Linked DNA regions of Mytilus edulis. The protein of the gene in region 1 purifies or fractionates together with the protein of each later gene. This does not show direct contact. Links are inferred from orthologs where the notes say so. Each region holds a gene or a part of one and is shown on either strand. Other genes may lie near its edges.

What was found. The genes of interacting proteins can lie anywhere in the genome.
Region 2: the proteins of splicing factor 3B subunit 1-like (region 1) and U4/U6 small nuclear ribonucleoprotein Prp31-like fractionate together in Homo sapiens (co-fractionation; 3 studies listed by BioGRID and IntAct, with this or other methods). This does not show direct contact. The link is inferred for Mytilus edulis from reciprocal best matches to the Homo sapiens genes SF3B1 and PRPF31.

Annotation. Positions count from the first base shown.
Region 1 is NC_092345.1:84,716,497-84,720,257, forward strand, and holds the start of splicing factor 3B subunit 1-like, read right to left. Parts: upstream 2,495-3,761; 5' UTR 2,389-2,494; coding exon 2,367-2,388; intron 435-2,366; coding exon 247-434; intron 1-246. UniProt on the Homo sapiens protein: Component of the 17S U2 SnRNP complex of the spliceosome, a large ribonucleoprotein complex that removes introns from transcribed pre-mRNAs.
Region 2 is NC_092352.1:66,095,266-66,099,026, reverse strand, and holds the start of U4/U6 small nuclear ribonucleoprotein Prp31-like, read right to left. Parts: upstream 2,715-3,761; 5' UTR 2,585-2,714; exon of another isoform or gene 2,553-2,584; intron 589-2,552; 5' UTR 559-588; coding exon 382-558; intron 1-381. UniProt on the Homo sapiens protein: Involved in pre-mRNA splicing as component of the spliceosome. Required for the assembly of the U4/U5/U6 tri-snRNP complex, one of the building blocks of the spliceosome.

The sequences.
Region 1 (3,761 bases):
GAATTCCTTATCACCATAAAATTGATATGATATCTGCTTTAGTATATTCTACCATCATCCTTTTTAAATTGTGTACATGTACATTCATACAAAGCTGTAAATTCATTAATAAAAACTAAAGAGTATTTGTTAGGTTAAAAGCTCTATAAAGCTTACCTATATTATAAAAAAACACATAACCAACTTTCAATAAAACTGCTTTATGTTCAAATCAAAACTTTTTTTGAAGAAAAACATATTGCTTACATCTAATTCTTCATTTGGAGCAATAGATGTGACATATCCTTCAAACTTCCCATGTGCACTGTAAATATCTGTATCATAATGGCCTTCTGCTCCCAAACCAACTTTATTTGCCTCATCTTCTTCATCTGCCCCTCCATCTTGGAGCTTCTTTTTCTTTTGTTGAAGATTTCGTACTTGTTCTTCAATTTCTGAAATAAATATCTCCATTTTAATTTTGAATCATTTGTATGTTAATATTTGAGTAGGGTTTTTAAATGGATAGTTCATATTGTCAGTGGGATTTCTTGGACTTACCCCTTTTTATTTGATGCAATTCAACATAGTTAAGTTTTTTAATTTTTTCACTAAGTAGTTAATTTTGTATGTCATTTAGTCTCTGGTGCAGAGTTGTCTCATTGGCAGTCATACTTCATCTTTTTTTTTATATAAATTTTAATTAAATAAAAGCTGAATTTTCAACTTTAAGAAACTATGTCCATGATGCCACATCCCCTTCATGCCCTTATTTTACTTAATTATTTTAAAGAGACAGATCTTTTTTTTTTAATTGGTTGTATCTGTGGAATACCTATTAGAAAAGGGATATCACATTCTGATTTCTACAAGTATATGGATTAATACGGAGCCAGAATTCTGACCGTGCAAGGGCTGTGTAGCCAGTCAAGGTTGTTAAAAACTTTCTTTAGTAGAGCCAGAAAATTCATATCTGACTCATTGGTCATTTGAATTAACTGATTCTTGAAGTTATCAATTTCTTCAATGGTATGATCTTTAAGATCTCTCTTCATTTACATGTACTACTACTGCAATGCAACATTGATTATGTTGATTGAGTTCTTTTCATAAATTAAAACGTTAATAACTAGGGCCTAAATTAATATATTGTTTGTTTCCCCAATCCTGACCCTGCCAAGCCAGGTGTGGGTCGGAAGGTAGGGAAATAATTTTATTTTTTCCAAAAAGCTTGAACAACATTGGACGATCCTGCAAGCCTGAAAATAGGAAATGAATAAAATAATATTTGACTTAAATTTGACAATAAAATTTTATGAGTAGCACTGTTTTTGCAGGGTCGGTTGGGATTGGGGAAACAAACAATATTTTATTTTAGGCCTAGTCATGGGTTTTTTTTCAGGCTGGTTAAAATGTTTTAATTTAACCCTAATTCTGTTGGAATTAATAATCAAAATTTGATATGAGTTGAAATTTGCTTTGCACTACATTTGTTATAGCTTTTAGTTCCACAGTAGTTGTTATACTCTTGCAAAGGCACCTTTTCTTTTCATAGTATTCTTGTGCTTATACTAGTGCCGATATGATGATGTTATACATAATATAGGTGGTTAGAGAGTCATTCTAGCTAGGGAATGTGTGTGAGAGTCATAATGGTATGATGACTCTTGAGGTGGGGGAAGTGTGACAGGATTGCTTTCGTTCATAAATGTGGTAGACATTTAGTCAGCCATAAGTGCTTCCTTGTTACACAAACTGAAACATTACATATGTGAAGAAACTACAAAAGAGGAAACGTACACAAGTGTTTACAGTGTCATTTGGGACACTTACTAAAGACTAAAGACTAAGGTCCTGTGTTTCGAGTCCTGGTGGAGACAAGCAATTTTTTACACTTGTTCAACTTATTGTAACTAAATGACTTAAATAATATTCCTTTTCAGAACATACATGATGCATGTATTAATGGAAAAATTAGTGTGGCTGAATGGACTATTGCAAAACTAGTTCTACAGCCGAAATGACCTATGGCTGAACTGGTTATAACTTATGCGACCGAAACGTGTTATCAGCCCTGTTGGGCAGCATATCTTCTGAAGGTAAAGATTCTCTCTAATTCACAATGAGTTAAAATAGTATTGGATATGGATCGAGACAGCCACTATGAAAAAGAACTGCTAAGAACAATGTAGTATGACAAGATTCAAGAATTCGAAAATAAAATCTTGAACCTTTTAACACACATGTGTTCCATTATACGTTGCAACACAAAGCCACGTGTGTGGATGTTTACTTATATGTAAATTTAATTAAAATGTCATATTGCTACATTTGAGGTTGTTTCATATAAGTTTTCTAGGGGAGAAGTGGGGAAATAGTATACGGACCTTCTCTTGTTGTTGCAGCCATTTTGCTGGTCTATTGATGAATAAATGGAAGACTTTAATTTACAAACAATGTGCGTGAAATCTCGGAGTCTCAAACAAACTCCAAAATTGAGAAAGGAAATGGGGAATGTGTCAAAGCGACAACAACCCGGCATAGAGCAAACAACAGCCGAAGGCCACCAGTCTTCAATGTAGCGAGAATTCCCGCACCCGTAGGTGTCCTTCAGCTGGCCCCTAAAAATATGTATCATGACTAGTACAGTGATAATGGACGTCATACTAAACTCCGAATTATACACAAGAAACTAAAATCAAAAATCATACAAGACTAACAAAGGCCAAAGGCTCCTTACTTGGGACAGGCGCAAAATTGCGGCGGGGTTAAACATGTTTATGAGATCCCCCCCCTCCCCCTATACCTTCTAGCCAATGTAGAAAAGTGCCCACATCGGCATTTGTTTTGTAGATTTTGATTTCTGTTTATTTTTTTTCTAGAACTATAACCTTACTGTGTTATTCTAATCTAAGTTTTTTTTTTTACTGTTTTTACATTGTTTTTGTTTTATTTTATTCGCGGTTAAAGGGGCACTATGATGAATTATTCACTCAGTTGCAAGTGAATAATTCAACCTCATTTAATCCGTATTCATGTAAACTTCAATTTAACCCCTTAGCAAAAGATGGATAACGCATGAATTTTGCTTGTAAATTTATTTTATAAAGGGAAAAAATGTTAACATGAAAGATAACAAAGGTTTCTACTTGTATTTGTAATACTTATTTGTACTGATTTTTATCCATCTGATGAGTTAAGCCTTTTCAACTGGTTTTTATAGTTCGTTTTTTATGTTGTACTGTTACACTACTGTCCCAGGTAAGGGGAGGATTGGGATCCCATTAACATGTCTAACCCCTCCACATTCTGTATGTTTGTGTCTGTCCCGACGACCAGGGGCCTGTAATTCAGTGGTTGTCGTTTGTTTATATATGTGTTATGTTTTTCGTTCATTTTTTGTACATAAATTATGCCGCGCGAGTTTTCTCGTTTGAATTGTCATTTCGGGGCATTTTATCGCTGACTATGCGGTATGGGCTTTGCCGGTCATTGTTGAAGGCCGTACGGTGACCTATATTTGTTAATATCTGTAATATTTGGTCTCTTGTGGAGAGTTGTCTCATTGGCAATCATACCACATCTTCTTTTTTACAATCAATTGATTGATTGACTGATTTGATCCACAAAAAATATACAGACAAAAACGATGAAGATAAACATATATTTTTAATCTATGATATGAATTGAACAGACCTAGAAAAATCGAATTGCACGAGTTCGATAAATCTATTTGTATCTATATTTGTGTTTACATCGCTTATATGGTCATTTGAGGACTT
Region 2 (3,761 bases), on another chromosome or scaffold:
ACCGGCAGATTTTAACAGCAAATTGTTCAGGTCAGATCATATCAAAATGTGGGATATAAATAAATATGTTAAATAGAAACAAGAAGGTAGGCATTTGTGGATGTTTAAAATCATTACAATGTATGCCTAACTTGAACTGAACCTATTTAGCTCCACACTATGAAACAGCTATATATGTGCATACATAAAAATTCATTTGAGGTCAGTTGGTTTCCTATGCTTATCAAATATTTCAATGTAATATATAGTAGCTAACGGCATATATTAAATAATGATTTAAACTGAAACTACATTTGTGGTTTTTGAGAACAAAGAAGTAAATTGTAGCCTGCTGATTGGGTGGATTTTAAGGAGCTTCAGTCATCATATAAAGTTGTATACCTTTTGGCTATCCCTTAGTTTTGCTACAGATCTAACAGAGTCCTTTGTTGAGAAGTCAACTTCTTCAGAGACTTCAGCCACTTCAGAAATATCAGTCATTTCAATATCAGCTTCATCTTCTATTGCCTCCCCTCCTGCCTCTTCGTAATCTGCTAGAAGTTCATCTGCTAGAGACATCTTGTTTAACTGTTTCTCAAAAACTTAGAACTAAAATACAAAAAATATAAATGTGCATGACTGAAATCTATTAGAACATGTACATGTCTAATTTTCAGTATTCCAACTGAACTATACTGATTAACCTTTTTTATGTGGTGATCGAGGTGTAATAAATATATAATGATGTTATATTATGCTCCTTGTGAGCCCATTTGATGGAAATAAAGCATCTTCTTCTTCTATAGTGTGTAAATCCAACATGGCAACCGTTATGATATCCTTGGTCGCCATGTTGGCTGATCATGTACACACTAAATGTATATAAACTTTATAAAGATCTTTATGAACTTACCTGTTTTCTGTAAATCATTTTTAAGTTACATGTATAAAATACTCTTATAATGTAATATTATTTGATAATCAATCATGAATGTTTAAAAGTCACCAATATCATGAATATGTGCTAATACTAAAATTTCAAGTGTTATTTAGTTATTACAAGTGTTATTCAGATAATAATGGTGTTATTCTGTCATTTGTGTTACCCCATGTCTATTATATAAAGTATTGTCACTTGTGTAAATGTTTATTGCATTACTATACATACAATTGAGAATGGAATAGGGAATCATCATAATGTACCAAAGTGACAACAACCCGATCAAAGAGCAGAAAACAGCTGATAAACACCTGACCAATTGGTCTTCAATATCACGAGAAAATCCTCACCTGGAGGCAGATTCAGCTATCCTGCTAAATCATGTATGGTGCAGTCCGGAGTATCCGCATTCATACATGTTCATTCATGAACACATTCATAACATACTTTTATTTCATAAAATCTTTTGTTTGTATGGTTTCATCCTCTAGATTTTGTGTAATGTGTGTCCAAAATTAGGGAAACCCCTGTTCTGAGAGTTCCTTTAATGTCTGGTGATTTCGCGCATGCCTTCAAAAAAATAGCTTATTTGGAATAAAAAAGATTTTATACTACGAAATATAGCTGAGTTTGTACCAAACACACTTCCAAGGATGCAGAGCAAAAATTATTTCAATCTGATATTAATATGACTTAACCCTTTCCTCCATGGATTTTTTTTCTTCACAAACTTGATTCGCATAAGGATTTTTTTCAATAAAAAAAATCATCAGGTTTAAAGTATTTATGCATTGTGAAAACGAATATTTCATCAATGAAATTCAAGTCAGATATTCTCATAAATATTCTTTTCATATTGGATACAAACTGTTTAAAGTCTGATGCAGACATTTTGTAGTCAAAGCATTTCAACTGAGGTACTACACAGACGTCAAAAGGCGTCATTATGGAGTAAAGGGGGTGGCGTCAAAAAGCGTCATAATGGAGGAAAGGGTTAAATATAACAAATTTTATCTGATGATGTAACTTTTTAAATGGAAATTAACCAAATGTGGTAAATCACGGAATTGCAGTTATTATTAATTCTTGAACTTATCAATTTTATTCTTTTTTATCCCTTCGGAAGGCTAAAACAATAACAAGAATGATTTTGTATGTTTTAATGTGTTGATATAAATATAAGACGAAATCAGCTAATGCGCGATATCACGGGAGGCGCGGACACCGGGGACTCCACTGTTAACAAAAATGTATGCTAGTTCAGTGAAAATTGAGCTCATACTCAACTCCAAAACATATAAATGAACTTAAATTGTAAGTTATACAATACTAACAAAGTGCAATCACTCCAACGTCTCCGTATATATTAAAATTTTTATATTTATATTAAGGTATAAATTGTTCAAACAAGGAATAAAACCTTCAAAAAGCTATGTTATGAAAATCTATGGATGGTACCAACGGGATTCGAACCCTCAATCTTGGGATATTAAGGCAACGCTCTAACCAATTGAGCCAAAGAAGAGGATCTTCCCTAACTCAACTAGTTACTAAGTTAGACCACCTTTATAACTAAAGGTCTACAACAGCTAGCACAACAAATAAACTTTCGAGTCAAAACTTAAATATTTACATTATGATTATGCCAAATTGTTGTAATTTTACCAATTATCTGGATTTCAATTCCTCAAAATACGTCTGAAATAAACATAAACAGCCACTACTAAATTTTTACATGGGGGCTGCCATTTTTCGTAATCAAAACGTTTGTGGGATTGCCTTAAAAAGTAATACCTGGTTTAATTTTTGGTGACGGATAATTTCCGGGGGAAAAAGAAAGGCACTGGCTACGGTTACATTGGAGACTAATTGCCGGAATGCAGGTTTGGATAAGGAACCGATTAATTACGAATATAACAATAATATTTCGGTCTACAGTTACCCTGCGTTATTGTTACCGTGATTAAAGACTGTGATGTACCCTAGTTCTAATGTACGATGGGCCTATATATAGTGATAAGTATTAGAATGAAACTTGAAAAGTTGTATTTGATATTTAAATATTGCATGCATACAATATTTCAATTTTTTATTTACAATGACTGTTTCTACAAATCCAGTATGTTGTTGTATTTAGTATGTTTTAGCCTTTAAGTCCGACGCATTTTTTTTGTGAAACCCCTCTAAACAGCCATCACAAATAAGTGATTCGACAATGTGCATGCTCCATGTATTGCATTCCATTCTGCACCTCTTCTTTTTTTAGGTTAAAGAAACTTTCAATGTCTGCTATCCTGCAGGTGATTTTTTTTTACGCTTGAAATTTTTATATTTTCGACCAATTATTTTGTTGGAAGCTTGTCAAAGGTTGTTTAAATACAAGTCAACTGTGAAAGCAACTAATGTTGAAATTCGCCGACAGGTTGAAAATGGTGGAAACAATGTTTTCATTTTCAGACTCCAGATATTTTGTAATCGTAGTTTCGTTCTTTTTGGTGAAAATAAATGCTCTATTAAACAGCTAGTTCATTAAGTATTCATCAATTTAGTGCCATTAAACTATAGTAGTTTCTTTAACAACATCAAAACAATCAATACTTAAAAAGTTTTTGAAAAACAATATAATTATTATTATCTAGTACATAACAATAACGCAATGTAACCGTGGACCCATATATTATTGTTACATTCGTAATTAATCGGTTCCTTACCCAACCCTGCATTCCGGTAATTAGCCTCTAATGTAACAATAATTGTAATATTATTGTTACATTTCCATGTTACCGTAGCCAGTGCCAAAAAAACATTCACTCTGTCGCGATCGATACACGCATGATTATGT